3 linked regions of the Schizosaccharomyces pombe genome follow. The gene in region 1 interacts genetically with each later gene. Each region holds a gene or a part of one and is shown in the gene's direction. Other genes may lie near its edges.

The links.
Region 2: mutations in wdr21 (region 1) and vts1 together harm fitness less than expected from each alone (positive genetic interaction), as found in Schizosaccharomyces pombe (one large-scale study listed by BioGRID).
Region 3: mutations in wdr21 (region 1) and SPOM_SPBPB2B2.18 together harm fitness more than expected from each alone (negative genetic interaction), as found in Schizosaccharomyces pombe (one large-scale study listed by BioGRID).

What each region holds. Positions count from the first base shown.
Region 1 is NC_003424.3:325,207-335,240, reverse strand, and holds wdr21 (WD-repeat family protein wdr21), read left to right. Parts: upstream 1-5,655; 5' UTR 5,656-5,756; coding exon 5,757-7,019; 3' UTR 7,020-7,045; downstream 7,046-10,034. Other genes in the region: cpn1 (caprin), read right to left, coding at 1-411, 459-581; mrpl6 (mitochondrial 54S ribosomal protein uL6m), read left to right, coding at 905-1,546; nce101 (non-classical export protein 1), read right to left, coding at 1,800-1,950, 2,002-2,027; protein eti1, read left to right, coding at 2,498-5,431; cysteine-type deubiquitinase Miy1, read right to left, coding at 7,259-7,743, 7,850-8,299, 8,385-8,547; gms2 (NST UDP-galactose transporter), read left to right, coding at 9,961-10,016.
Region 2 is NC_003423.3:3,035,121-3,048,201, reverse strand, and holds vts1 (RNA hairpin-binding protein), read left to right. Parts: upstream 1-2,191; 5' UTR 2,192-2,435; coding exon 2,436-4,577; 3' UTR 4,578-4,798; coding exon of another isoform or gene 4,799-6,400; 3' UTR 6,401-6,562; downstream 6,563-13,081. Other genes in the region: gpi14 (pig-M family mannosyltransferase), read right to left, coding at 1-222; F1-ATPase delta subunit atp16, read right to left, coding at 847-1,350; zf-C3HC4 domain-containing and GCN5-like protein cwf24, read right to left, coding at 4,799-6,400; pho2 (4-phosphoerythronate phosphatase/2-phosphoglycolate phophatase, involved in detoxification of glycolytic by-products), read right to left, coding at 11,092-11,840, 11,880-11,948, 11,996-12,074; taf51 (transcription initiation factor TFIID subunit taf73), read right to left, coding at 12,337-12,792, 12,849-13,081.
Region 3 is NC_003423.3:4,497,521-4,506,871, forward strand, and holds SPOM_SPBPB2B2.18 (uncharacterized protein), read left to right. Parts: upstream 1-5,171; coding exon 5,172-5,205; intron 5,206-5,266; coding exon 5,267-5,337; intron 5,338-5,547; coding exon 5,548-5,766; intron 5,767-6,006; coding exon 6,007-6,144; downstream 6,145-9,351. Other genes in the region: SPOM_SPBPB2B2.16C (MFS family membrane transporter), read right to left, coding at 417-1,874; ftm7 (transmembrane helix domain-containing protein), read right to left, coding at 4,436-4,876; SPOM_SPBPB2B2.19C (transmembrane helix domain-containing protein), read right to left, coding at 6,390-7,424; SPOM_SPBCPT2R1.01C (uncharacterized protein), read right to left, coding at 9,086-9,351.

The sequences.
Region 1 (10,034 bases):
CGAGTCGTTCAAATCAGCAACAGCTTTTTCAGATTTCTCGGTACCCTCATACACAATCACCAATAACTTTTCAACAGCTGAATTGAAAGGCGCATCATCTGAAGGATGAACACAATTATGGCTTGCAAATCGTAGAAAACGGACCAAACTTGAGACTTGCTTTTGAGCGGTGTCATATCCTTCGCGGTATTGTGCTTCAATCTCTTCTTTCCTTTTAGCATTTTCGGTCGCCTCAAACTGACGCTTGTGTTTTTCATCACGGATCCTTGTAGCATCTATTTGGCTTAACAACTCCTTCAACTCATTCAATGTCGTCAATACAGCATCTTTACCTTGTAATGCTTTTCGTTGATCATCATTGAGAGAATTGGAATCGCTAGCAGCTATTTCTTCAAGCTTTAGAATTTTTTGCTACAGATTTAGTAAGTTTTAACGCCCAATTTAATAAATGATCTTACCTTCTTTTTCGTAAAGTTACGAATGCGCTTGGTTAAATGCTCCACAATAACGCTTCCGAGTTCTCCCTCTATAGGGTTTTGGGTGATGTTTTCACTATTTTTATTGTTTCCCTGGCTTGGCATGGTTTTTTTCTTTTCTCGCTTTTATCCCACAGGTTGGTTCTTCGCAAGTTTGGTTGACGTGCCACATGGCTGCCACCCTACATGATGAACCTACTAAGTATCCACATCGTCAAACATTGACTTTAAAAATCCGCAAACACTTTTGGCAGTCTTAATCCCTAATAATAGGAACAATTTATTTTAAGCTATCTCACAAAAAAAAAAATCGAATAGAAAGAATACGTGTTTTTATTAGAATTTGATATTAGCGAATTTCGAAGTCAATTTTTCTAGCATCCTTTACTAATATATTTGAAAACTGAATTATTTTGATTTATAAAATTATGTTTTCTATTGATAGTTGCTTGAAAACAAGGCCCTTAACTTTTCGAATTGCTCGTCTTGGTATGAACTTCACGACATGTTCAGCTGCTAGATCATACGTTGGAAAAAAAGAAATCATTGTTCCAAAAAATATCCAGTTTGATTTGGAGGGGGAACAACTACAGATTACTGGACCTCATGGAACACTTAACATGAGATTTCCAAATTATCTCAATCTCTCGAAAACTAATGACATCCTAAAAGTAGGAATGGATGCCAATATAGAAAAGCAAGCTACTAAAAAGCAACGTGCAATGTGGGGCACTACTAGGGCTATCCTAGCTAATAATGTAAAGGGAGTAACTATGTACTGGCAATCTATTATCAAATTGGTTGGTATCGGGTATCGGACTTCTCTAAACGATGGAAATATTCATTTAAAAATAGGTTATGCAAACGACATTTTGGTCTCTATCCCTACTGATGTACAAGTTGAGAATCCAACGCCAACCAGCTTGGTACTTCGTGGAATTGATCGACAAAAAGTCACACAGTTTGCAGCAAAAATTCGATCGTTTAAAAAGCCCGAGCCGTATAAAGGGAAGGGGATTTATGTTGATGGGGAAAAACCGCAGTTAAAAGCTAAACGGAGCATATCATGAGTTCTTTGGATTTCATTATGCAGTACATTCTCATATTTCAATTTTCCATCTGGCATACACCTTGTGCAAATTCACTATACAAACTCATTTCTTACAAACACTTATTAAATCACATTGCAGTAAAAATTGTCACAGACTGTTAGTAGCGTATAAACGTACAAAAGGAAATGTTATTCAATGAATAAAAATATAAAATCATCATTCGCTCGACACCCTTTGCCTCCTAGAACAGTCCTTTACGGAATGTCTGACCTCAGTTTTTCATGGATTGTTGTGAAACTGCCTGTTTATTCCATTTACGCAATGCAAGTTCTCGTAAGCTTCTTCCTCGGGGACGATGCTCTTTTTCATACAAATAATAACCATAAGTACCGACGAAGATTCCAAACAAAGGATCCATCCATCTGTTTAAGTAACATGTTAATATAATGAACCGAGTCTTCTTACAATCTTACTTAGAAATTAAATAGGGTTGAGACATCTTCTTTTTGAAATGACTTCTTCTCTTTTACGTGGCTAGCTGATTACTTTTAATCAATAGTAGTAGTGAGACTGTAAGGTTGGAAATATGTAGTAGCCTAATGAAGTATATGGGCCGCATTGAGCAAATACCTAGATATATCCATCATACATCCTTTTTATCGTAGTAATAAACTGATATTAGAGTCATTTTGTCAAATTTAAAGCTCGCTTTTTATTAAAAATTTGAGAATGCTTTTATTTATGTTTCTGTTTCTTAAATAATTAATAGTTGCATTCTCACATTCTTTTGAGAAACTTAATAAAAATGTGAGTATTAAATTCTAAGATGAAGTTTGACGAATGTATTTCCCTAAATTGCTTCCTCCTTATTTTTAATATTAGCGAAAATTCGAACTTGCCCACTAACAAAAGCCCAGTACATGTAGAGTGCAAACAAAGCGCACTACATAAACAACCATCGTTGTTAATATGTCATTTTATAAAGAAAAATCAATTAATGAAACAAATCTCGGATCGTTCGTTGACGAAAGTAATGAACTTTTTTTTTCGGCATTATCGGAATCCTCAATGAACCATGGAACTCCTGATGATAGCATTCTACTTGACTTAGTAAGTCGTTCAGACAATAAAGATTTATATCAAGATTCTCTCGATGTTCGAGATAATTTTTCAAACTTATCTAGTGATGAAATTCCCCAAAGCAGTTCCTATGAACAAACTCGCAAGCCATTCTTTCATCATTTTAACCCGTTCGAGTTTTTAGAAGCCACAAGTCCATTGCAACAAAATGGCAAATCTAGAGATACGGAGAAGCCTCCTTCAATGAAAGAAAAGGATTTGTCTTCAAATAGCAGTTCGCAGCATGATAAAGCCTTTCATGAAAGGGTTGACCAGGGGAAAAATAAATCGTCAACCACTAAATATCAAGAATTTCGAACTGTCGCTGATTATCGAGAATTTTCTCCTGGACAATCAGTCAATTCATTGAAGCCAAATTCTGGTGATGAAGTTCCATCAACCAAATCCTCAACGTCTTCTGAAATGCATACTCAACTATTGAAGGATGAGCAAAAGAAAATTTTAACACCCGCACCTGATGTGCCTCATGATGTTTACTGTATTGAACCCTCTTTGGGTCGAGTTTTTTCTTTTCCGGCTTCATTCGTTGCATCTCCTTTGCTTTTAGAAGATTGCAATAAAATAGCATCTTGTGATCTTCCTTATAGTACATTTTATGCTAACTCACAAGTTATTGATAAATTTTCTGAATATTTTGCATACGTGGATCAGGATCCTTGCCATATTCGCGTACTGAACGCCAATACCGATCAATCGCTCATACTTTATACGCAATCTGATGTTAAAAATCTACATTTTGGCAAAAATAAGCATACAAAGCCCCATCTTTTGGTAATGGACGCTCTCTCTAATCTGTATGTTTGGAAAATTTTACAGAAGCGATCTGAAATTTCAGTTTCACTTTTGTTTACCATCCGTCGTGCCAATTATGGTATTTGTGATTGGATTCCTAATTCTTCAAATATGTTTTCTATGATTGTAAAGAATTCTTTATATATTGTGGATATATCAAATATTCGTTCCAATAATATTAGCCCTAAAGTTTATGCAAAAGATTTTAATGGATTACAAGCTGCCAAGGTTGATTTACCTGGGCCGATTAACTCATACACCATCTCTTCTGACCGTTCTGTTGTTGCAATATTAGTGAATTCTCAAATTTTTTTCTATTCATTTCCAGTTTCTAATTTATTTTCTACTAATCCTTCACACCGAGGTAACTGGGCGGCTATCGCGACAATGAGCCTTCAGCTTCCGAGTACAGCAAATTCTATTTCTTTTCTTTCATCTCCACCGAACAATAATGATATCATTGATAAAGTTATTTGTGTCTCCTATGCTAATAATACTATATTAGGTTTATTTGATTTTGGGTTATGTGCTTTTACTCAAGAAATTGAGTTTTCAAATGAAAAAGAGAAATCACCTATTCAGCAATTACTTACTTTCAATAATTCAAACATGATTGTTGCAAAAAGGAATCAGCTTTTGGATATCTTTATTTATTCACCTTCTGATTTATCCAATGTGGGTGTATTATCTAACACTGCAGCTTTGATCTCTGCTGTTTCCAAAGGCAAGCGTTTTGGAGATTCTGGTTATATTAATAAAGTAATATCGAATGAGGTGGTGGATCATAGCATTGTTTTTGTCACCTTAATTGGCTGTGATAGTTCCAAACTTGAACTAATTTTGGCACTAAGTTCTGGATATTTTCAGTTCTGCATAGAAAGCGATTCCAAATTTGACGAGGGCACTTCTTTGGAATATCCTAATTCTGACAAGCGAATTTTAGCTAGGGCATCATTAACTTCGGGATTAAAGTCTAATAACACGCTAAGGGCTTTGAGTCAAGATTTAAAAAATTGTGCAAAATCTAAGGATGATTCCACAACACAAAATCTTACAGAGTCTTTGGGATCAGTTTGTTATCCCTCCATGCCATTCTTCAATCAATACGTTCCTCAAAATCCTAATGAGGTTAGAGAAAATATCTCTTCAGTCATGAAAAGTAGAATCCACGCAAAATTTGAAAGCTTGCATAGTCGAGTGGAATTGGTTGTTAAGAACTCTTACATGAAATTGTTGGAGCAGACTATTTCAGAAGCTGCAACCGATGAAATTTCTGATCTTTTCAAATTGATACATTCAAAACCTTTTCTTCTTGAGGTAGGATTCCTAGAAACTGGATTTTTGGCAAACGACTTGGAAAACTTAACATCCACTTATAGAAGCAGTAATAGGCAGTTGTGCGATTTTTCAAACCGCATAGGAAACATTAACCAAAAGCTTGAAAAACTCTTAATGATTGAGCGATTAGAAACTAGCGATCAAAGTCCAACATCCTCTTCTAATTTTGAAGAATCTGAGTCATTTGCAGTATCGAAAAAAGTTTTGGAATTGGTTCGCATTTCTAAGAATAAAGAGGCGTTAATTTGCTTCACGAAGGATCCCTCTATTGAAGCATTCCGGTCATTACAAGATGTGCCTGATTATTCACTAGATGATTGTTCTTCAATTCATCTTTTAGCATTTATTCATGTTCTTTCCAAGTTAATCATAAAAGAGGAACAGCTATCATTTTCTCGTCTTCAACTATTATCGCGAGCTACTTCACGTCTTCGGACTATGACATTATCAGTATTTAACAACAGCGGCACATTAACTCCTGAGCTGTTCTCCTCCGTTGTGCGCATTGTTCTTAAAAACGTGAGGGAATTTGTGCTAATTGGTAACTCTAGTATACAGAAGTCGAAGCACGAATTTTTAATTACGACGCTCCAAGCACTGTTAAGAGAAGTCGATATTTTTCTCAATACATAGAAAATGGAGGAATCTCTGAAACTAGCTTATGAGCGACAATAAGCTTAGCTGCAAGCACTAGTAATTTTGTCTTTTACGGCATTTTTTCCTTATAGGGGGCATTTAAGCTATTAACTATAAGTTAACAAATAAGGAATTTTATCGTGTTACCTTATTATACCGTTTGCCGCACACTGGTGCTTTTTTTTATTAATTTATATAGTTGTGTTGTCTTTTGAATACCTAAGTATTTGGCTACATACAACAGAGAAATGGTATAACGACAACATTTTAACAAAACCTTTTTTGTTTTTAATTTCTTTTGCTTACCATCAATCCCTGGGTTATGAGCGGACTACCATTTCATATTCCCGGTTATTATTACAATTCTGAAAAAAAGCGTTACTTTCGAATAATTAGCTCGGGGCAGTCTACTCCGTCCTCTAATATTTATACTAAGGAGAGGTTGAAAAGGGGGAAGCGTTTTAATAATATCAGTAAAGAACGAACCAAAGGAAAAGGAGGCAATCCCGTTTTCAACTTTTCAACTTATCTTTTTGATAGACAGTTTTCACAATATCCTTATTCTTGTAATGATGACAGAGATTATTTATGTGCAAAAAACCTAAAAAAAATAAATCTTCGGCAGCTTCCAGTTGGGACTGAGCTGCAAAAAATAGGTTGGCTTCGCGAAGTTAATACCATAATTTTAACTTCCAAAAACGGCGACATATTGGGGTGTTGTCTTACCCCTGAAGACAAATCTGGAGTTGCAAATGAAAAATATACTTCAGAAGGTTCAATTCAGGATTTTTCCTTGTCAAGGATAGGCCTCTCTAATAATCCCATTTCTTCTTTGGTATGTAACGCAATGCAAATTTTCTGGTCTACATCTCCTTCTCTGCAGAATGAGGGACAATTTCATATATCTACTTATAACCAGCTATTGGGTGAATCCAATAATTACCGTTGGGGATCTCTTAAACTTTTGAAAACCCCTTTATGTGCAGAAAGTATTGGAGAGATGGGCTTTGCAGTTGGTGGCACCTCAAAAATTGCAATAATTAATCGAGAGGGAAAATTAACGCAAAGTTTGCAATCTAAAGGAGACGTATTCAGTCTTAAATATTTGGGTGACAACTTAGTCATTGCTGGATGTCGAAATAAAAGTGTATTAGTGTATGATCTTCGGACGAAGAAAGAATGTGTACAGCGATTCTATCATGGATCTAGCATTTGTTCAATGCAAAACTTAGATTTTTCCCAACCGAAGCTTTTGGTTAGTGGTTTGGAATCTAAAATTTCTTTGTATGATTGCCGATTTCTGCAAAGTAAAAAAAGACCCCAGTCAATTATGTCTTATATGGGTCATTCTAATTTGCTTGAAAGAAATTTAGCTTTGATGAAAAATGAGAATGGAAGCATTTTTAGCAGTGCTGGTGATGATTATGTTTTACGTTTTTGGAAAACCGACTGTTCGTTACCATTCAAGGAAATGCGAGTTGACGATGGTAAATATTTATGTCGAGATGGGTCTTGGGTAAAAGCAATGAATGGTACCGGTTGGGTTCTACCGTATGGTCGAGGCTTACTTATTTACGAACCATGAGCATTTAACAAGGTGAAGAAAATTCTTTTTGGTAGCAATAGTATCTTTAGTCTTACGGATATATGTAATGCTTGTTTACTTTTCAATCTTTCAAAAAAGTTTAGGAGATTTCAATATTAATTAATAATTGTTGACGTAAAAGAAACTATGGAATAAATGTAGTAAATGCATACGCTTTCACTAGAGCGAATACAAAAAATAAAAATATAAAAGACAGATCCTCTAAGTATCATGTTTCATCACGAAATTAAACAGTTTTCGCTTTGCTTACGTGATTTCTGGGTATTGGATTTGTTACGACGAGGAGTGTTGGAAGCCTTTTTAGGAGTCTCCTTTTTTCCTCTTTCTTCTTCTTCTTTCGCTAGTCTCTTGGCATATTGTTCATCATCTTTAGCGCGTTTTTTTTTCTCCTCCTTTCTTTGATTCAAAACATAAACAGCAGGAATGAAGTTAGCTGCACAAAGTTCACCATTGCCTGTCTCAACTGTTTGCGAGTCAAAGGTTTCCCACACAACATCTTCACCTGTCCTTGCGTATCCACTATCTGTGACCAAAGTAAATTGTGCGAATGAATCTGGATTTGAATACATGGTACTGAAATGACTGGAACGAAAAACCACGACTATTTCCCCTGGACCTACAAGCTCAAGAATCTTTTTAAGACCAGCATTCGTCAAAAATTGCATTGTATAACGATTTTCCATAACTTTGTCAACACATGTAGCTATTTGAAGTGTTAGTTTGTAAAAAACATATAGCAAATTATAAGGCTAAAGTCTCTCAAGCAGTAAACTGAAGAAAGTATGCACGACAGATAAGTAAAAACTTACAATTATTTAAAAAATCTTGCTGCTGTTCAGTTAGTGGCTCCTGCATCTCTAATAGAGAACGACGTTCGGCAAATGTATCTGCAACTTTTTCATAATATTCAAGCTTTCGAAGGTAGCTTAAATCTTCGTCGCTCAAACCCATATCATCTGAAAGAATCCAACCATGAACTAATCGAACTCCAAATGTACAAAAGATTTCATGCCCATACTCAAACTTTTCAATATCATAGAGACAAGGATTCAATTGCTGACCGAAATGCATAGATGTCAGTTTATCCTGAAGACTTTGCTGATTTTTGCATAAGCCGTATGCTTTAGCAAACTCCACCAAGTATTCTGTCAGTTCATCGGGTGTGATGTATCTTTTCTTCGGCAATTCAAATGGTCGATCTACGTTTGACTTTAATATTAATGCATTGGACAAAGCAATTATAGGACACGGGCCATTAACTGAATACAAAGTAAGCAACTTAGAATTTGCGGAATAAAAGCTTGCAATTATGTTTAAAACGTTACAAGTCTTTATAAGGATTACCTGTTTGACATAGAATAATTCGTTTCTGGTATTCCCTTGAAAGGGGTTCTATGAAAGGAATAGTTCTTGTCTGGTAGGAATTAGAATGGTCCTCTTGCTTATGGTTCTGAGTTTCATTATTATGCTCTTGAGTATCAGGATCGTGTTCCTGAACATTATCCATGGCTTGGTAATTAACAGAACTTAGGTTTCTTAAAGAATTCCTTTTTGAAAATTTCAAATTTATATTCAAGGATTCCTAAATGTGTCATTTAAATTAACCTTATGAGTTAATTTAGAGACGTTGATCGTAAGTTGGGTAAGGATATAGCTTACACCACCATATCACAGTAAAACCAGTGTCAGTGCTAATGATAAAAGGTGTTTACTCAAAATAAATTTAGTTTTATGACAGGAGGATTTATAGTTTAAATGAAATCTTATATACTGAAATTGAACTTTTAGGATTGTGCTATATTTCGTATACATATTATTAGGTAATTGCAATTGGGGCCCAAGCTTTATACATTCAGTATTTGTAATAATTGCCTTTGTTAAGTTTTTAACAGCTATTTTGTAATCTTCAAATTTTGGATTCTATTTATAGTGAAGAAAGCAATGAAGTATATTAAAAAATCGACTTTAGTTGCAAAAAGTTAAAATTGAATTTATATTTTTAAAAATTAGTATATTAATTAAATTTCTTTTAAGTGTTGATGAACTCTTTTGCACTCATTTACTGTAATTATAAACTAGAAATGAGGTATTTGTAAAATTACAACTTCCTTTTATTAAGTTGTCAGAAACCCAGAAAATTTTAGAAAATGAGTTCAAGATTGAAAATTAAAATAAATTAATCAAATAAATGAGTTTAAAAAAAACAACTGTCTCTTAAGACTTTTCCAGTAGATATCTTTTCAATGCTTAACAGTTGTAATTATTAATGAACCAAAGAAAAGTTATGAATTTGCTTTAAAGTATGCGTTTTTAACCATTTTATTTTCAGCTATGTTTGAAAGTTTAAATGCAACTTCAGTAAAGTAGTATTGATTATATAGGTAGCATCATCATTGAAACACTTTTCATAATTTTCATCTTATAAACGAGAAGGCTATATAAGCTGCTTTATACTGGATTTACAATTTTCAGGAAATTATTTCTTTCAGTTGATTGACCAAGACAATGAAGGATGATTGTAATATACTTTGAATAAATTAAAATTGAGATTATAATTTAATTATACTCTAAAAGAAGTATTATAGAAAAGACAAAACTATTTTGTTTGTTATCATTTATACTCGCGAAGCTGGATCTCCCTGATGAATTCATTATGTTCTAGGAACCAAACTTAACGATTTACGTAATGCATTAACTAAAGTTTCGCTAACCGACAAGTGATAGATTACAGCTGCAATTGTTATACTCTAAGCGCTAACGCATACATATTAGCGTACATCTCATTCATCTTGCTTTTACAATATATTGTAAATTTCTGAACATCTTAAACGGATATTTTATGATATTATACTGCACATACAACTCATCACTTTTCCTTGCCCATATTTGACGGGCATTTGATACTCTCGACATTTACAAAATGCTTTTGCCAATTATTATGCTTACTTCCGGTGTAGCTAACACCGTCTTGTCGAAGTCAGTAGCTATTTTATT
Region 2 (13,081 bases), on another chromosome or scaffold:
GGGTACCTGTGCAAAACTAACCATAGACTTGGACAGGTTGAAATATAAAATATTTAAGTGAGTAGAAAAAGAGGATATTATAATGAAGTAAAAAGAAATATAGGCAGATACTGGTAGTAAAGCTTTCCATTTATTAAACGTCCATCGTGGATACTGCAATGTGATGAAGACTAACAGCGGGAAGAAATAGAAGTAAACAAATACTTCAAGGAATGTAATCATTATATGTGATTGATGATTTTCGAATTTTATGCACTAAAAGCATACGGAAAGTCAACATGCATGCAATATGTTTGGTACTAAATAAAGTGCGCTACGGCGTGGGTAGTAAATAAAGTCAATAGCAGAGTTAATGCAATTTTGAGTCGTTATTGGATTGAGATAACAATTTTCGGCTTTTAAGGGTTTTCAGCTTCTTTTATTGTAAAATAAATTGTGATAGAGATTTTTGTATTCACATGTAGTCGCCAAAATTGCTAATGACTATGACAAAACTTTGCAATCGGTGCATGAAAAACACCGCTTTAAATCTACTGGTAAAATACATTACACAATATGTAATCATTGAGTATAATTGAAAAACATAATTTCCATCGAAAAAAAAATAATTGTATTTGCTGTTAAATGTATTCGTAATCAGAGATGGGATTGGGATTGAAGCTAAAAACATATGTTGGAACAAAACCTATTGATATCAGTTGAGAAAAGACACTAGTAATAAATCCCCAAACTTATAAACTTCGTTCTTTCGAAAAAGAGTGTACACTATGAAGGAATCACAACATAACCTGTTTACTTTCATGTACACAACTGTAAAATCAGCAGCCAACTAGAAATATTGCTAGCTTATTTTAAAGCGCGAACGAGGGATTCCAAAACACTGACTCGAACCGCCGCCTCGGCAGCAACCCCCTCATCAGAAGAATTCATCTCAGCTTTGTGCTTTTCAAGAAGTTGATTTGCGACAGAAGAAGAAAAGTCTTCAAGTTTATAAGCTTCAGGAACGGTGATAGAAAGTTCATTAGAAGGCTGTTGTACCGCAAATCCTCCAGAAATGAAATATTTTGATTTGTTGCTGGATTCATCAGTAACAGAAATAACTCCTGGCTTAAGACACTGAATCATGGGAACATGATCTTTAAGGATACCCATCTCGCCATCTTCCGCAGGGATGTCGACCTGAGTTACAGGAACCTTCTCATAGATGGTTTGGTATGGCAATGCCATGGAAAGTACTAATTTTTCATTTTTCTGAACAGCTTGGGCATAACCACGAATTCCAAAAGGAGCACGTACTAAACCTTGAGGAAATTGTGATTTTCTCAGCATGTAATTTGATAAACGAAACATAATGTTGTTGTTCGGAGTATTGAGTGGGTTAAGGGGGGTGTGATGCTGCTTCGCTGACTGTGGGAATAACTATGCGGAAAAGTGAATGCTGTCAAATAGTTCTACGAGTAGTATTTTAAAGAAATTACGATTAACAAATATATTCTATACTTTTTTAAAAGTAAAAAAATTCTTCAAGTTGTACAATAAATGATTAAGTGATGTGCCAACAGTTTAAGTTCATGAATTTTAAAGCAACTCGTAAAGTACAGGAAAGTGGATAACTTTCTTAATTCCATAAAGATGAATGATTACATTAGAAAAATAGGCTTCTTCTTTTCCTCAAAAGTAAGTCATTCTTTGTATTATTAAATAACAAGTTGTTTATATACTACAATGTAAATCCGCGAAAAAATCACCAAGTTGAATCTTCCGGATATATTTATTTATTGAATGCTTTGTACAATGGCTAAGTTACTTGGTAATAATCTTTTGATTTGAATATATAGACATGTAGATACAGTTTACAACATTTACCTGATTTTGTAAATATAAAGCAAATATAAACATGTTTCAGTTTATTGGACAACGAATTACAAAGCAAACATAGCATCTGCACGTGTAGATTCATTACGAAGCCATTTGCTGAAGTGGTAATCGTGAGTAAGAAAATAAGAGAAGACCAATTTAGATGTCTGAGTAAACATAGTATATTTTATGCAATTCAGTAAACAAGAATATCTGAAAGAACTAACATTTTCTGCAAACAAGTGTAAAATCAACTATTTTTTTGGCATACTGGCTTGCATATCGCTAAATATAGCGGACCCCGAACTAACATTTATCCGTCTTTCCTCCTTCCACCAACTAGTAGTCATTTTTCAAAACAAAGATCCCTGCTTCGACGCTGGTCGTTTTTAAATTCCTAGGGATCTCCTTTTATCATTTGTTTTTACTCATCAATTTGAAGATTCAGCGAGGCAGATTTGATTATAAGGAGTTAGTTTAGAGGGGGAACTTAGGTTCATTAGGATCAACTACTTTTTCAACTTTTATCTTCTTTTATCGACCATTTTTCATTTCAAAATCTATACTGCCTGATTTAGATGGAAGTGGTTGAAGGAAGACGGAAGACGTGCCTTGACGTTGTTGATTCTCCATCTTCACGTCAAAAACAAACTATAGCTGTCTCGTTGGTAGATGGTAAAAACTATCCTACGCGATTTTTAAATAGTAGGACCATAGATAAATTGAAGCAAGAATTAAACACTTCTAATCTGTCGACTGGAGAAATGTCTACTAACGAAACCTTAAAAAATGCTCAAGAAGTTGCCGGTAAGCTTCTATCCGAAGAGAATGAAGATTCAATATCGGAACATTTCGATGAGTATTTAGGAGCTGATAAGCCTGGTATATCCTTTTTGACTCGTCTGAAAACTCTTGAAAGCTGGTTTCAATCCTTAAGTCTCCAAGATCGACTGACGACCTTACGGACTCTTTTGCATCACCTTCCTTCTCAAGAAATATCTACACTTCTGTCGTCTAGCCTTACGTCCTCTCCTTCAAACTCTGGCTTATCTTTAGACAAATCTCTCCCTTCGTCCCCTAAAGGTGACTCACCTTCCCTTTCAAGTTCACTTCCTTCATTGACCACAAAATCCAACTTGTCTGGAAATTTGAACATGGTGACTCCCGCGTCCACCCAGGGACCTGCATTTTCTTCAAAGCATGGCTTTTCTAACGCTCTTTCTACGGCTTCGCCAATTCCTGTTCGTACATCTTCAGTATCATCTACTTACCTCACGCAGGATCGTGAGGCATCTTCCAAAAATTGCCTTTCTAAGGCTTTAGCATTTTCCTCCATTGAGCCGCCTGCCTCTTCTGCTTCTACGAGTCCTCGGAATACTCCTACCCCTTCTAATAATGGGACTTCAATTAATGCTAATGTAACATCTTCTTTAACCAGCAATTCCACCGGCAAAACATCCAAGACCACTGATCTTTTAATAGCTGCATCTAAAAAGTCTTTACCGTCAAATTCAACACCATCAAAACCTAATACATCTTTTTTTGAAACTCCTCATAATAATATTTGGGATTCTCGTGATAGAGGAGCTTTTTCAGCTCCTCCTGCTCCTTTTTTTCCACTTGGATTTTCACCACATTTGAATGATGAGTCTTCTCGTTCGAGATGGAGTAATATATCTTATTCTCCGCCTCCACCACCACCTCCTCCTGAATTATTAAACCATTCTCCAAAGTCTCGCCCTTTAGGCGATAAGCCTTATCTGTTTTACCGTAATAACCAAATCGGACCTCGAACTCGAACTGAAGGAAGATCTAGCATTACAGAAGGTAAACCGTTTTTATCATCTTCCCTTCGTTTTGAGCACGTACCTTCTGCTAATGACCTAAATTCTGTAGTCAATGCTCGTGTTGAGAAATCAACTGGGCAACCATCGACGCCGTTGAATCGTCAACATTATTTCAACGAACTTCCACATTCGACTACTCCGGTTACATTACCCTCGTTGATTCATGGTTCTGAAATTGATAGGAGACGAAGTGGTTTTTGCTTGAACAATTTCAATTCAACTCCTCCCTTTCAGCCCTATCATTACGAAATTGGTTCTGGTTTACCTCAACAGATGCATGCTACCAATACGATTTTAACGAATCCTATAGATCCTAATTCTAATATCTCGACACCCGTAGGAATGCACCTTTGCACCCTTCCTTACACTTATCAACCGTTTAGTTCAGTTGAAAAAATAGAGACTCCACCCAATAATTCAAAGAACCAAACATACCGTAGAAGCTCACGGGGATCTAATAAAACCAGAAAATCGATTTCACATTCTAAAAACACAGACAAGCATGTTGGTAATGAGCTTCCGCAAGATATTCCGAGCTGGCTCAGAAGTTTGCGCCTACACAAGTATACCAATAATTTAAAGGATACGGATTGGGATGCTTTGGTTTCGTTAAGTGATCTCGATTTGCAAAATCGAGGCATCATGGCACTGGGTGCTCGTCGTAAACTGTTGAAAAGTTTTCAGGAAGTTGCACCGCTAGTATCTTCAAAAAAAATGAATGAAAATTTAAAAGCGGCGAAAAACCAAAGTTCGGAGTCTTTAACGAGCTTCAAAGGTCATACTGACTCGGAGGATCTTCCAAGTGGGAGCATGTCTAACGAAATAAGCTCGAATTCAACTAAACAGGATGTTTCTAGTTCATCAATGGACTGAGAGTTTTTTATCATTAACTAATGACACTGAACTAGATATTTTTGTTTCACATCTAGTGACACTTATCTTTACGCTATATTTGACAATACTTTTTTCATTGCTTGAGGATTTCTGTTGTTTATTTTAAGCCAAAAGGTGGACTAATCAAATATTAAAAGCTTAAACCAATTTTACAAACTGTCTTTGACATCGCTTTTGTAATATAAACATATAAGTGAATTTTAGTGATTTGAAATTATATTATTATGAGCACTTAACGGGCACACCATATAAAAAGCTGATTTGTTTTCTAGCCTTCGGTAAAAATCATTGATTTGCTTAACAATCTTAAATCCATGAGCAGTATACCATTTAATAACTGATTCGTTTGTTGTTTGTACATGAAGAGAAATTCTGTCTATATTATTGTTTATGGCAGTTTTTTTGACGTGATCAATTAATAAGCTTCCAATTCCCAGACATCTGTAAGGGGCAAGAACACATAAGACTGTTACGTAAAGTGAATTATCTTCTGCAACAAGGCTGCTAATGGCTCCAACGAATTTGTCTTCGAATGTTGCAATGCGGGCGTAATCTGGATTTTTGAGAACTAGGCGGTAGAATTTGTCACTATAAGAAGCCTCTAAAACGACACGAACGAGGCGTTTGAAATGGACTATATTGGATTCAGTAATCTCTCTTATAAAATACTTTGAAATAATTGTATTTGAATTATCACCTAAACTAGGCATTTTTTGTTGAGCCGATGTATTTGGTTTTGCCAACGTATCTGCAAACCCTTGAAATGAAGCTTCACGATCTTTACGTTCCGAAACTTCTGTAGTTGCGGAATTATTACTTTCGAAACCACCAACCTTTTGCTTGACCGCCTCGTCATTCTTTGATTTTCTATTTTTCAAAAGCCGATCAAAATTTTTGTCAACAGAAAACAAACCTTTAGTATCTGCACCACACTGGATGCATGTCGGTGTTTTACGATATCTAGTTATGGCACACTGTTCACAAAAATGGTGACCACAAGTGGTAGCAATAGGACTTCGGTAATCCTTTTTACAAATTAAACAGACGAAAGGTATATCCTCTTTTTTCTCATTTTTTACCATCCCTTCTTCCAATTTAGCTCCTTTTTTGTATTTTTCCTGGACTGAATCCCATTCTCTATCAAGTTGCCATCCAGCTTTGTAATCCTCTCGCATATGCAAAAATTTACAAGTATCTCCATAACCGCAATACCCAGTGAGCTTATAATCTTTACAAACATCGGGTTGGTAGTCAATAATTGTATTCATACGGACAGTAGAAGCATTGGAAGATAAAACTGGCCCTACTTGGCTTTTTTTCTCAAAATCTTTCCTTTTAGGCAAAAATCTAGAGTAATCGTTTTGTGACTGGAATAACTCAGTAGGAAGAGTAGACTGATTAGCTAACTTCGGAGAAGGTCGACCTAAAATGACCTCTCTCGTATCTTCGTTGATAGCCGAAACAGTTGTAGTATTAACGGACTCACCAGTAGCGCTTAGATTTGACTGATATTCAACATTTATATCTTTCAAAGCAGAGTTCTCGAATTGCTCGGATTCTCTTTGCAATCGATTTAAGCGAACGGTTTTTTTTCTTCCCGAAACAATTGGAATATTGTCCCGCATATCTTCATTTGATGATTCACTGCTGCCTCCAGAGTCATCATCTCGTTTGAATCCTTTTTTACGCTTCAGTCCTTGTCTGGGGCGATGTCTCCGACGGCTTTGAAAAATTGGAACAGCTAATTCGGTATTGATTTTTGAACCTGAAGCCTGATTGATATTTAAATTTTTTTGTTCCATTGGATGTATGGCAAAGATAATTTAATGACCAAGACACTTGAAAAATCAAATTCAAGATAGAAACGTCGTCAATTCTTCTTTAATTGAGACCCTATTTAAATTCCAAGATAGAACCACTATAATAGTTTAAACAATTAATAGTCACTAAAACAGTTCCCAAACAAGTGCTTCAAAAATTCTGATATCTAGTAGAATCAATATTAGCGCTTGCTGTTTGCTCAAAATTGTGAAACGTGTGTCCCCTTAAATAAATAAAATAAAACAACAAAAATAGAAGAAGTTTGTAGTGAAATGCAAATATATAAATTTTAGAAAGCTGCTAAGCTAAATACGTGGCCACCGAATCTGGGCTTTAGTAATATTCAGGTAGATATATTTTTTAATAATATATAGGTATTTATATTTACTTTTTAAGATTATATAGTATAACGAGGCACAAAACAAACGTTGAGTTCTATTAAGAATGTATAGTTCTCTTTTTGTGACAGTAATCAGTCTTAATAATTTAATTACTATAGTAATGACTAATATTTTCAATCTAAACATATATATACAGCCTTCAATGTAATACGTGTTTGCACAGCGTTCCCTTTAATTTATTGCTTAGCGGTACTTCATAAACACATCTAGAGATTTTTTCATATTTATTTTTATTTTATTTTATGGAGATTATGAGAAAAGGCTGAGATATGGGGGTGTTATTTTCAATTTAAACGTATAGAGCATTGCCATTTACTAGAAATTGTTAACATGAAGAGGCCGTTGCTACGACGATCTAATTTACATTCTTGTTTAATTCATTATCATTTATCATCCAACTCTAATTATTTTGCAATCTGCAATATTGATGAACAAGCTACTAAGTACTGTTTCAACGGCTTATGAATTATATCACATCAAACAATCATGGTCTCAGACCTATAATGCAAATAGCGTATGCTTACAGAATTGAAATCGAATAAAGTTTAGTAGGAAATTATACAAACTCATAGCGTGTCTCAACTTTTATTATAATTCATTATGGTACAAAACTATTTTGAGTTAAGCAAAAGTTCAATGGATAAAATTCCAAACGTTAGGTTTTTAAAAACGACAAGAGTAAGACATCACATTTAACAATTTGCATTTTGAAGATGAACCATTAATCACTCTTAATCAGCCCTTGGTTGTTTACGAACACTATCTGATTCACTGTTCCTGTCTTTATAAAGTTCGCCATCATCAACCTCACGCAACCATGGTGCCAATATGACAGGTGATTCAGAACCTTTTTTATCCATCTTCACAACAAAGTCTTCGTTCCTCTTATTCAAGTGGTATGTTTTTTGCTTCCGGAGAGTGTAAGGTGAAGGTGACCTAGATTCATTAGACCTTTTTCTAGATACCTTTGGTGAATATTGACGGTTGTATGATAAAGAGTCATAAGATCTTTTATTCCTAGCAGGAGAGCGAGAAATAGGGCGTGCAGCGGAGACGGAGATCTAGAGTATGAAACTGAACATGACATACTCAACCTTCTTCTGTAGGAGGGTGAGCGAGAAAAGGACCTGCCTCTGCTTGTAGAACCAGCGTATGAACGTCTATAACGTTGGCGCGAGCGATACTTACGTGAAGCAGGTGAAGAAGAACGAGAACGATAACCCTTATCTTCAGATTCAATTAATCTTCCCTCCGGCGTGTAAGAGCGTGAGCGACCCCTTGACAATGATGATGACCTGGAAAGATCAGAATAAGAGTTACGGTTTGATGACCGTTCTCTCCCACGAGGAGATAATTCTCTATCTTTTCTAATGTATTTTTTATGATTTATATTATTGATAGGGGTTACACTGCGGGAGCGAGAATAAGAACGGCTTTTCGAGTATGACCGAGTTGACCGAGAATATGATCTCCCACGTGAGTATGTGGAAGAATAAGAGGAACTATATGTTGATCCTGTCTCGGATCCAGAGCTATAACCTTCGCTATCTTGCTCCTTTGGCTCGCTTTTGGGCATGGTAAGGAGGTACTCTCTCATTTCTTCAGTTAATGCACCCAAACCAATAGAAGTAAAGTAATTGATAGAGAAACGAACGTTACGAGCTTCATCGACTGGAAACAAGCCATGTAAGTAAGGCACTAAATTAGGATCGTGTAATCTTTCTACCAAGCTCTTAAGACCTAAAGCTTCCACTATTTCCTGAAACATTATTTTTAAAAATATTCGAGAAGAAGCTGTGGTATCGTCTTCGGTAAGACGTACACAGTCATATACTTCCCAACCAATTGAGTCAGTACTCAAGAGGTTGGCAAAAAATAATGCGATATTCCTCAATCTATTAGTTTCGTATCGATGTATAGTTTCGTAGTAGTTTTTAAAACATTGCTCATACGTAGATCGCCAAGTCCGCGATAGTTTGCAAAATCGCTCACCTATTAAACCGTAAAATTTCGCATATGTGCGTTCTTGACTGTTACACTCAATAACCATATTGCAGAGTTCAATTTCCTGACCCTCGGGAAGATCAATTTTTAGTAATTTATGACAACATTCCTCAAAATCTACAGAAGACATAATTGTTAAGTAGATAGACTTCCGTAAATTGACAAGACTAGCATTTGTTTGATCTATAACCTGAGGTTTTTCATCATTCACCGATTCGTCCTCTTCAGATTCACTCGTTTCTTCACTATCTTCTTCATCTTCTTCGTTTTCGTCGTCATCCTCTTCACCCAATATTTCATGTTTTATAGCATCGTATTTTTTCTCATTCTCTTCGTAGTCGGGATCATAGTGAAAAATACCCAATGACTCTTGGACATCAAGGTTATCATCTAAACTGATATAATGCGTAATTTGGTCTTCTTCCTCAACAAGATCCAACTCTTGGGGAATTGTGGGGTTATTTTTAAACTTGTCCTTACGTGTTTGGAACAAAACTTCAATAATAAATTGCGTACGGCGTTCCAACTGGCCTTCATGTAAAATAGTACGAAATCTTTCAAACACACCATTATAAGCCCTAGTGGAAACTTCAGCTAGGTAGGCTCCAATTTCTCGTAGAAGCATAACGGCTATTTCTATAGAATCATTGGTAGGTCTCTCCAAAAGAACAGCAAGAATCTGTAAGCCCACAATTTCGTGTGCTATTTTTTGATTAATAAGATGTGCGATAAATGAAGAAGATGAGATACACATGGATTTGTCATTCCTTTGAAATGACTTTCGGAATTGTACAATCAAACGAGTTAATAGTAATTCACCTATTTGCGGAAATTTTGTATTTATAACCGCTGTCATAGCAGCATAGATTGGGGTGAAAGGTAACGAGGCAGCCTGAGCTTTCATAATGCTGCGGCAATATAAAGCACGACCTCTAATTATATTTTCTTGAAAGAGCTCTGGAATTATATCTCTAATATTGCTTTTATTAACCTTATTAATTAATCCGTTGATGGACTTTTTAAGGGCTTCCCATTGCATCCTTTGATACTCGGGAGTATTTACATCAGTTAATTGTGCTTGTAAAGCCTTAAGTTTTGCCGGAGGGATATAAGTCCCTCCTGATCTGGTTTCCATGAGCTTTTTAATCTGAGCTTTGGGATCCAACTCATTGTGGGATTTTTTCTCATCAGCAAGAGAAGTTGGCGTTTTGATTTTATTTGACTTATGGAGGTCTGGTATGTAATGCCTATCTTCCCAGCTCAAGTTATTATTTTCCTGTTCAGTTTTCTGTTTTCGAATAACTGCCACTCTGCTATGGCCAGAAGACTCTGGGTTTTCCCTATTGTAATCCAACATTCCAATACCAAATGATTTATCTTCTTTCTCCATCCTAATTCATTAGGATTAGATTAATAAATATAAGAAGAACGAAACACGTGAACGTGTTTCCCTTAAAGACACAGTAAGTAGTTTTTAGAGTCAACTCTTTTTCTTACGAATATCACAAACATCGCAACAACTCGTTAAAACACGTTAAAATAACTTTATCTAGTACGTAGTTTGCAGTTCGGATTACAGGTATTTCCAATGTTTTATATATATGATGAGTTGTATTTTAGCGCAAAAGATAACTAGACATCAAAACCTTTATTAAAGAGCATTTTTAAATTTGCAGAGAAAAAAAAGCTGTAATGAATTTATCTCTTTTTTCTTAATCGATGGGAACCGTTCGTTGTTGAACAAGAATCATTTATGCTTTGCTGTCAAGTGATTATATGCCGCATTTAAGTCAAAGACGAATGGTTTTAGTCAATAGAATTTGTTTGAAAAACTATAAATGCTTGTATTTTTTCAATCTTTTATATTGTTATTATTATGGATATGTAAATAACATTAAAGTAAACCTGGATTACCTAAATTAAAGAACTTGTAAGCAGGTGCAGATGAAGATGCCCAATGCCAATGTTTTTGGTGAGAGTATACAGGCTTAATCGTATTTTTAAGTACGTTTCTGCTTGTCAACTAAAAGGTTTTTACTGATTCCATAGTTGGTGGACACACGATAGTTACGAAGAGCAAATGCAAGCCAACGGTATTCGATTTTAGATACTTGATTCCGGTCATTGGTACTTTGCTAATTCTACTTTCCAACTTAATTTCGTATTCTACATGTTTTCGTGCGGTAATTCGCAACGCAATCATTCATTTGAATGAGGTATTTATAGAGATTAACTTAAGAAAATCTAAGGTATAATTAAAGAATGAACTATGCAGTCTCAGCAAGTTTTGCAAGGGATTCAACGTAGTAATCAGGAACAACAGGTGCATCCTTCTCAAGAATCTCTTCTTCCTTACTGACACCAGTCAATACTAACAAAGAACCCCCAAGGTTGGAATTCTTGGCAAATTGAATATCTGTGTTGAGTCGATCTCCCACAAAGCAAGCCTTCTTTCTATCAAAATTCACATTAGCTATGATGGCTTCCATCATCTCATCATAAGGCTTTCCAAGGATTTTAGGTTGACGTCCAGTTGAAAAGATTAACGGATATGAAATTGCTCCAGAACCGGGTAAAAACTTTCCGTTTGTAGGAAAAGTGGAATCTTGGTTCGTCAAAAGGAATGCGCAGTTAGGGTCTTGAAGGTATTGGAAAGCCATGCAATATTTCAAATAGGTGACATGCATATCCATACCACATAACACAGCACCTACAGAAGGATCAGGACCAATCTTCTCAACATCTTCAGAAGCTAATGCACGTCTCAACGACGGGTCCGTTCCACCAATATGAGCAACCCCTACTCTATCAAGCTCATCTTCGATACCTGCTTCTCCAAGTACAAAAACTTTCTTATCGGCAGGAAGCTTTAGCACTTTCTTTACATAAGTAGCTGATGAATAAGCACTAGGGTAGATTTCCTCAAGTTTGGCTGCAATACCGTGTTCATTGATTTTATTCATATATGTTTCTCTTGATTTCGTAGAATTGTTTGAGACAAAAATAATTTGTTTTCCTGTAAAAGAGTTAACTCAAAAGAATAAAAGGGACTTACCTAAAGAACGAAGGAGCTTCATGGTATCCGTAACTCCTGGTATAGGCTTACTGCCGCTCCAAAGTACACCTGCGTGTTAGCCTACAAATAGATTTCATATTTTTGCTAGCGCTTACCATCACAGTCGAACAAAAAAACATCGAATTTATCAATGAATTCTTTATATTCCTTGGGTGATGAAAGTTTTTTAGCCATTCTTAAAGTTGGTTAAAGTGGTAAGGTGGTAGGCGTTCGACATATCCGTTATATTTATAATCTTCGGTTAGATGTTCCTTTCTGATAGTGATGATCGACTTCATATTAAGCTTAAAACTTACATCTTCTTTACTTTACGAAACCTTATTGCGTATAATTGTATTTTAAAAAAATATGAATAAATTTACAAATATCAAAGTTATCGTTAAAATAATATATCTCTTTTTTTCACAAAATTTGCGGGCCATAATGTACATGATATTTAGGAAGAGCTTAATGCTAGACAATAGTTTCTTCGAGTAAAACTTAAGTTTTGTATAATAGTATTTTTGGTTTTAAAATTGAATAAAAGCGGGGACTGTTCGCCGTCCGATAAGTTATTCCGGTATGTCAAATCCCAAAAGTTAACATCAGTATCTGCACCTCCGGAAACCAGAATTTTGTTATCATATGAAAAAGAAAGAGAATAAACGATACTAGAGTGTTTAACGAATGAAACGTGCTGATTACTACTTCTGAGATCCCACACTTTTATTATGCCCGATTCATCAGCAGATGCCAACGATAAGCCATCAGCAGACATACACAATGCAGAAACAGGAGAATGATGGGCATTAAACACGCGAACTGTTCCACCAGTGCGAACGTCCCACATTCTAGTTGTATGATCACTAGATCCTGTAGCAAGATAAGCTGCATTCGGATGAAATGAAACACACTAAATCAAGGTTAGTTACTGCTCATAAGAATTGTTAGTTAAATAAAGTTCCTTACATCCACATCATTTTGATGTCCAACAAATACTCTCAAAGGTGCTGCATGCTCAACATCCCATAGACGTGCTGTTTGGTCGTGCGAGGCTGTTGCAAAATAATAGCCGAAAGGGGAAAACTGAACGTCCCAAATCGGCGCATTATGACCAGCATATTTGACAATAGTGGACTTAGTATCCTTGGACCACAAACGAGTAAAGCCATCCTCAGAGCATGACAGTATAAACTCTTTTT
Region 3 (9,351 bases), on another chromosome or scaffold:
CTGAGGTGCGTTAAGTACGGTCCAACATGTAATTATGTTCTTTGTCACAAATTAGAGCCACAGATCCTAAAAGTCTAAAATACGAGACAAGGTATGATTTTTCAAACTGTCCCTAGAATAAGAGTTGATCAGCCAAAATTATTGTGCAAGATGAAGCTGTAAGGCTAACTAAAGACTAATGATTCTATAAATAGAAAACATAAAACATAATGCTGAATAAAATGTTATAAGCTACTGAGCTCAAGTCGCTTTTAAGGTTTATAATAGTTTCATTGAATCAAGTTTGTCATAACGAAATAGCGTATTGCTTCATAAATAAAATTTTTTGTTAATACCGGTGTTTTTTAATCAGCTCGGCACGTTCCAAGTACTCTGAAAATGTGTGTGAAAATCCTCACTTTGATCAGTTAAATCAACTAGTATTTTGAGGGGTCAAATGGTCGTAGATTTCTAATTTGTTTTCCATACTTGAATAAGATTGGAAGACTACAGCCACAAGCTAATAAAATAAAGGCAAGTAAAGTACACCCCCATCCGTAGTTCAGTCGACGAAATAGACTTTCAGCAAATAATGGAAAGATGGCTCCTAATAATAGTTGAAATATTTTTACACCCGCTGACGCACTGGCTGAGTAAATTCCATATGAATCTACCACATACATGTTTAAGGGATTGGAAGTCATAATGTACCCACCACCCATAATGGCTGATCCAATTGTTGGCACAAACCAAAAAATCTTATATCTTGCAGTCCAACCGAAAAGTAAAATTCCTATTTCAAAAAGTGTGATTCCAATAAAACCCATAGGAAGTCGAAATTCAGGTTCACCTTCACCACCATTTCGCTTTACCAGATATGAATAAAACTTTTGGTTGATAGGCATGGCAATGAAAACTGCTGAAAAAAGTCCAAGGGTAATGGATATGTACATCAAACCACTAATCCCAGGACTGAAATCATATGAAGATTTCCAAACTTCGGAAAAAGCTATAAGCACCAAGTTTATCATTCCATATATAGAACCAATGGTACAGGCTACACATATTAAAATGGGTTGGGAAAGTAAAATAGAAATTGGCTTTTTCATACTCAATAAAATTAACAATTTTATAAGCAGTTGCTTACCTGTGAGACGCAACGCTACTGGTTCATTTTCTCCTATTTCGCCGTATTTTTCAAATTTCTTGCGATTGAGAACAGGGGGATATGTTTCCTTTAGTAATAAAAAGGCCCAAAATAAATTGAACCCTGATAAAATTAATAGAATCCAAAACTCCCATTGCCAACCAATTGAACTTTGGCTAATAAACCCAGAAATTATAGGCGCAATTCCTGGTCCAATCGAGAGAACGGTAAAATAAATCACCATATATTTTCCTCGATCTTTTTTTTCAAACAGATCAGCCAGTGAGCCAGATCCATTTGATAAACCAACGGATCCGAAAAGTCCAGAAAAAAAACGAAATACTAAAAACATTGCCAAATTTACTGACAGAGCAATGGGAATCTGAAGAAGTGCAAATACGCTATAACCAATTAAATATATAGGTCTTCTTCCAAACTGTTCACTAAGTGGAGCAAATATTAAATTTCCAAATAATATCCCTAATGTATAAAGTGTGGCTCCTAGAGTGACCAAGGTTCGCGAAGCATGAAATTGCTCTGCAATATTGGAAATACTTGGCGCAAAGACACTATCACCGTATTGATTCAAAAAAGTCATTGATGAAATAACAATGACATTTCGTACCTTTAAACGAATAGGCCATGTTTTAGGGTTATATTTGTCTGGACAGTTTGTCTCTAGAGGGGTTGATGGCACGTGTTTTATGGAACTTGAATCGCATTTTTTTAAAATTGACTCTTCTTTCATATAAAACACAGAAATTTGTTTGAAAAAAAAAATGAAAATCTTCTAGCGATTATTCAAGTAATTACGTAGATTGATTAAGCAATACTAAAGGTCGTTTCCACTATAGTATTCCTATACAACAAAAAATCACCAAAAGTTATTTGAAAGTAGTAGGCTTGAGGTTCTAAATTAAAAGCAATTTTCTTTTTTGGTTACTTTTGTATGGTCCGGTTAAAATATAAAATTAATGCACAAAATACTTAACTTATGTATATAATCTCAGTTACGCGGAAAATACATGCAATAAGTTTTCCGCGGTGCACGCTTCACCGCGGAGCATTCTAAGTAAGCACGATAGCAAGTTATAAATTACAGGCATGGAAAGTATACTCAATTTATTTTAATAGACTTTTTTCCAAGTTCTTTTATACAATTCTGCTATTTTGTCCTATAGATCGCCTCAACGAACACTCACTACAGAAGAATTCTTTAGACTTGCACGATCCCATCCATCATGGATCCATCCTGCTGATTCAGCAAATGACCACCTCACACCTGCTTTCTTTGGCATTTATATTCGATCCATAACTTTCTAACCATTAATATAATGCTGAATTCATGAATGTTAACAATCGATTTCTAATAAGAATAGCCAATCTATCAAAGTTAAAAGCTCTGGTCAGTTTAATGGATTTTCGCTAGTGCATCATAGCCTTGATATTTCTAAGGTTTCCATTGGTTGTAAGTTTCTTTCAACTCTTCGTAAAGAACAGTTGTTAGCTAGCTAATTGAGTGTCTGAATTTTTTTTTGTTAATGGGTTCTTAAAATTGATGTATATGTCCATTCATCTTTATATATTTTATGTACATGAACTATTTACAACGCATTTTGGCAAACCATGTGTAAACATTTATTTTTCTAGTTAGGGGAAGATGAAGCAGGACTTTTCTTCTTTAATGTCTTCAATCTTCCAATAGTTTATAAAGAAAGCTTTTTGACATTGTTTCTTTTTAAAGCGAGGGAATACCTTTTATGGCCCTGCCACCGTCTATAACGTGATTTGTTTGTTTCGCTAAACGCTCTTAGGAAAACGGAGCTATCAGAGTGACATATATGACTTAACGAAGCTGTGTATGGCTCATGATCACTATTTAGAATTGAATGAAAACAACCAATGTCAATCACAGTGTCGAAATGCCCCTTGAATTCATTTAATCTTGAAAAATCGCGTTGATTAAAGTTGACATTACTTTTTTCACTAGATGTTTTATCGATTGCTTTAGAAATAGCCCTTTCGGAAATATCAATACCCACGACTTTATATCCAAGACTGGCTAAATATCTAGCATTTCTATTTGGTTCACAACCGGCATCTAATACATTCTCATGTAATTTCCCCAGTTGTACAAGATTCATGATCTATTCGTCTGGTTTCTCATTATCAAATGGTGTTGCGGGATCTTCATACATATTTTCCCAACTATTTTTTACTTCAGAGATATATTTCTTCATTGTTCTTAATGATATATAAAAAATGGTGAAATATTTATTTATTGCCCCATCATGTTTATTTTTATATCCTTCTTTCTCTGTCAGGAAATCTATTTCCGAGCTGACGATAAAAAAACATGTTGCAAGTCGCCGAAACTACCTCGGCTTTTATTACTATGTCCGAAAAGTGCGCGAAATATTGGAATGGCTTGTAAATTATGCATTTAGCCAAATAAAGTGATAGTAAGCGCAAAGTGTATGACTCAATGAAAATCGGGTGTATCAACTACTCAGTTGTTTACCATACAATGTATTGTAAATTATGGGTAGTGTCGTCGCTATTACATTTAAAAAATATATTATATTGAAGGTATCTAATAAGAAGTAAATGTTTTTCTGTGTAATAATAGTGAATTCTTCTCATCAAAAATATAAACGAACTGATTTTTCGTCACCTTATTAGGTTATACAAAGTCATAACAATGCAAAACCAAAGCGGATAGCATATCAAACTAAGAATATGACTTGCTATTAAAAATTAGTTTCGCTTGAGTTTTATTTTAAGAGTAGTAATAGTCAGAATTTATTGTGCTGATACACTTCAACTTACTTGATTAATAATTGAAAAAGAGAAATTTACAATTGAAATTGAAATGGATGGATTTGAAACAAACCATTCGTCAACATCACCGCTACTTTAAAAATGCTACTGTACTTGCGAGTATAACTACACAAAAGTACATATTTAAGCGATTGCATCAAGTAATGTCATATATAGAAATACAATAATATAAACGGAGCACAAACTGAACCTCGTTCTTGATATATCAAGTCCTCTTTATTGTACCATAATGTTGTATGTCGTTGTGCTATATTTTTTTGTAAGTTACAATCATACTGATTGGCATAGCTTCTGCTTTTAACATAACGGCGATCAAGCCATATTTGATCAGGTTAGGCAGAATTCCAATGATTGCATTAGAAGGTTTAGATCTTCAAGTCAATTTTACGATTACAAGCAAAGGAGAAATAGCAATCAAGCCAGTATCGAATACTCATTACACGTATATAGCAAGATACTATGGAATTGTTATCGTGATATGAATCTTGATGGTGGATTATTATAGCCCTGGTGCAGATCACTAATATCGGTTTTCGAGTAAGAATGATTCTTGCTTTCTGACCTAGTGACTTTCTCAATAGAGAAAAGTATAATGACTTGAAATTTAGAAAACGTTCTAATGGAGTTAATGGAGTGAGTTCTAATGAAACGAGGAAAAAATTTGTTATGATATACTACGACGCATCCAAATGTAAAGGATCGGAATTTAGATGAAACCGATGGTACTTCCGAGTAAATGTACCAACAATATAATAAATAAATCAGCAATTTTACTGCTAGACAATATTTCACTGTGAGGCTTAGTCTTGGTATAAATAGAGGGACTCTGTCAAAACAAATATTTTGAACTAGACTCGAATTCTTCATAATTCTATTCACTTGAGTGTTTATTTTTTTTAACAATGCCATTACATTTACGAGATATGTGGATATCCACTGACGATTATAAGGATGTTTTACTTACGTGTCCTGTGTGGTATGAAATTAGTGAAAGAGAATTAAATCATGCTGTTTGGGGACAATATTAAAATGGTGAAGTTATAATGAAACAGTTGTTGGAAGCGATTAGTTTCAAAAATTAGCGACTCGTATTTTGTTTATTATTATTATTATTTTTTCTTTTTTTTTTATTCGCTGTTTTAAAATTGTTTCCAGCAATCTTCTTCCTGTTCTCTTTTTATCCGTTTGACAACACATTTTGCTAATGCTTTTTTTTTTTTTTAGTTCAAAGAAGACTGGTACGAGAAATAAACAAGTTCAGTAGTTTCGAAAGCAATTGGCTCTTTCTTTTGTTTTTAGTCCGAGTATGTCGTCAGTTGAAAACCGTAACGGTTCTCATTGTGCCTGTTCTTCCGGTTTATACGAATAAGGTAAGAACATTCAAGAAAGCGTTTGATATGAAGTCTGTTCCATTATTGCTCTTAGTGCCTGACAAACGTTGTTAGTCTGTTTTGAGTTTACAAGTTTGTTAAGCTAATAGCCATTCATTGATCTTCATTGTTACATGCTTTCCATGGAATAGTTGGAGGTGTTTACTTTTCAACTTGTTAGCGATCGCTTGCTAACATTTTTAATAATAGGTACTTTGTTGTTCTCAGTGTGACTGGCACGAACCAGCAAATGTTTACTCGATTGAACAAAGGCGTAGTCATGATGATGATCTTCCTACCATTAAGGGTTCTGATGCTAGTACTCAACAGTATGAAAGAAAAACTTATATTACCGATGCTAGTCCCGAATCTCAGAATCTGTTTTTAAGCAAAAGTAAAGAGGAGGGAGTTATCTTCTTATGCATACAAGTAAGCTTTTAACCTTGATTCTATTTATTCACTTTTACCATTTACTACTTTCGCAAATTCCTGTTTTTTGTTGGGGATATGAAGGGGAATATAAGGGTAAAGTAGATGAAATGGATGTATTTGAAAGTTGATTTGGATTCGATTTATTACTTTGAATCCCCGTTTATTATTATACGTTTATGTCGTTTTAAAGAAAACCATGCGATGTACTATATTAATTTTGTAAAATATATATTATAGATAAAAAAATTGTTGGGAAAATGGGAAAGCAAGTTGAAAATAATTAAATTCAATAAATTAGCAAAATATGTTTATGAAGGTAACCAGTTTTTTCTTTTTATTTTTTTTTTGTCTATATGTCAGATTCGCAACTTTTAAGTTTGAACAAAACATTATTTCACATCGACTCAAAGGTTATGTGTATTTAAAACGTTCCAGTAAAAAAATATTCATTTGTAAAAAATAAATAGGTGGTATATTAAATAAGAATGAACTTACTACACAATTTCTGTGTAAAAAAGTGAGATTAAAATAACTGGATATTAATCCATTGATAAACAAATAATAAATAAAATAATCCCGGTAACCCCTTTAAAGGTGAATCAAGTAAACCATGGTTTTTGTCAAATCATTTTCTCTTGAGCCTCTTCAGCTACATTTCGATTGTAGGCAAGTGCTTCATTATGGGTGGGAAACATTATGTAACATGGAAAAGCAATTTTCTCCATAAAAGTGAAAAGATCACCAATGATCACCGACAGTCTGTAATCAAAGTTTCCAAATATAATATTCGACAGGTAATGCAACATTGGAGATGCACAGAATATAAAGATAAATGCATTTAGCATTCTTCTAAAAAATCTGGCTTTTGAAGCATTTTCGTAAGTTGTTACAGACGTGCATTGTTTCAATAAATGACAAATAGAATACACCCAAATTGCAGGAGATACCTCATACTGGATCATGTCAAAAATCTCTGATACTACATATACGTCTTTATATAAAGAAATCCAGTATACAGAACATAAAGCAATGACAATACTAATTCCTTTTATCATAAGATATTTAGGAACAGTTCTAGTTATGCCGAAACCCAATGCACAGTAAATCACAAATAATCGATAAAAATTTGTCCGAAGAAAATCAATTATTTCATACACCGAATAAAATTGTCTGTATTTTATACATTCGGAAGAAAAAACATACTCCTCAATGCATTCTTGTAGAGTCTGATTTAACGCAAAAAGAAAAATATAAAGGCAGATTACCTTTTGAGCAGGAAATATAATCTTGCTGAAATGTAAACAAGTCCATATCCAATAGCTCAAAAATAATAGTACTCCTCCCATTTCAGCTACAGAAATATAGTTCCAAATGCCAATTTCGTCATTATTAATTTGATCTTCTGAAACCGAATACCCCATAAGGTCTAAATTAAATTCAGCTCCATCCATTGTCATTGGTCTCGCAGCTACGCAGTAAGAACCCGTTTCATTAATCAAAATAGTTTTCCATATACTTGTAATATTTTCGCCCGTCCATACCGATTCCGAGTTACCAGAATATGCAAATGATCCCATCTCTCGGTTTTGGGAATTAAATTCCTCAAAAAAAGATTTTTGGATCACCGTGTCTCTTGATTTTACAAAGTCAATCATCTCCTCAACTTGATCATTCCAGCCAATTATATTTTGCCATTCATTTGCTTCAAAAAAAGACAAAGCAATTTCTCTTTTATCGAAGCTTTGTGCAAAAAAATTAGCATGTATTCTGGCACCGTTAGATTCCTCCACAATGAACCAACTGCACTTAAGAGTGAGCTTTTTGGCTTCTTTAGGCAGTCCATTATGGTTTGACAAGGTAGAGTTTTCCTTTTATGTAGTAATAGATACTGCTTTGGCGTCTACTTCACCTTTAACTAGAGTATGGAGAACTAGGTTGCATAACAGCAATGCTAGTGTTTTATGAAGACGCATCTTTAAAAAAGTTGGTAAATGATGCTTGCTCAAGGGAAAAGCAGATCAGGAATGATTAGCCTTTTATATCTTTCGTTTTGGAGTTACCGTGCTCCACGTTGCATAACGTTAGCGTTAAAACATTGGGAAGATTGGAGGGAAAAGAACACAAATAAATGGTTTGTTCACGCATCATACCTTTACTTCAAGATTTAAATTGTACAAGCACAAGTTACTGAATATAATAAAAAATCTGTTAAGTATGGAACGTGAAAGATAAAGTCATTCACCGTTGACTAGTTCTATTCCGTTAGTACTCGTACTTCATTCGATGATTGAGTTAATAACGCCGTTGGTAATATCCCGAGAATACAGAAGCTTTTTAAAAGAAAAATATAGCAAAAAAAAAAAAAACTGGTAATGACCAGTGGATAAAGAGATAGCATTCGTTTTTTTTTGAATTTAGCAATTATTAATTTAAAGCATAGATTGAAATTCAGCATGTACACTACCAATCTTTTTTTTTTTTTTTTAATTTCAATAGTTTGTTTTTACGATTGCGAGCAAGCGCCAGAACAGATTATAACGTAGAAAATTCAATTCGTCTAACTTATGTCCTGCAATATTTTCGCTTAGCAAGCATACACCACACCACCGTCCAACCATTATCGACCTAAAATAAATTCTGTCATTCAAGGTTGATCACTCCTTTTAGGCAAGATAGATAATAAGACGATTTGTTATAAAACTTTCTTTCTCAAATTTTTCTGGTCTGTCAACCATTTAAAAGTAGTCCAAAGATTTAGAATCTTTTACTGTTTATTCAAATAAAGCTGTTTAGTATTTTGTAATTTGAAAATTAGAACGATATCTATAATCACTAAGCGAATAATCACTAAACGAATTATATTTCAAACAAAGCCTTAAATTAACTCGAAGCATTTTCGTCATAAAAAATTGAAACCAAATTGTTTCTACTAACAGATAATGAATAAAACTCCTTTCCTGTAGTGAATATGACGCTGAATTTTGGGTTAAAGTAGATGAAATGGAGTTTTTGAAACACAAGTGGGAGTCCAAATTGGTTCAATTCGAAATTTTTTATTTAATATAATATATTTTAAGCTTTTAAAAAAAAAATATATAAAAAAGTCATTTTTAGTATTTGAATAATTATGAAACGAAAGATAAAAACATTAGTTACATTAAGTGATAATATCTTAATTAAAACCATAATTTGGTTTGGTTCCATAATTGAAATTCATAACGAACGCACCTTATGTGCATGATTTGGACAGGACAGTCAATTCGAACATTGTTAAGAATAGTTATATTCTATATGATCATGAAAACGATAAAGAAAATTATTTTTTCACAGGAGTAGGCATATTTTGTAGTTCTATTTGTTCAATATCAGAACCAACTGTTGTTTCTGAATGTAATGCTGTTTCTCCGTTATGTGTAGGAAGAGTGTTAGAAACACAGACGTCTCCTGGTGTCACAATTTTAAAGCCTAAAGACAATATTACAAGTTTGTAAAGAGCCCAATGACCAAAATACAAAAGGCCAGTTATAGTTGCACCCAGGGCTGCTATAATCATTCCCAAGACTGCTATAATCATACCCAAGA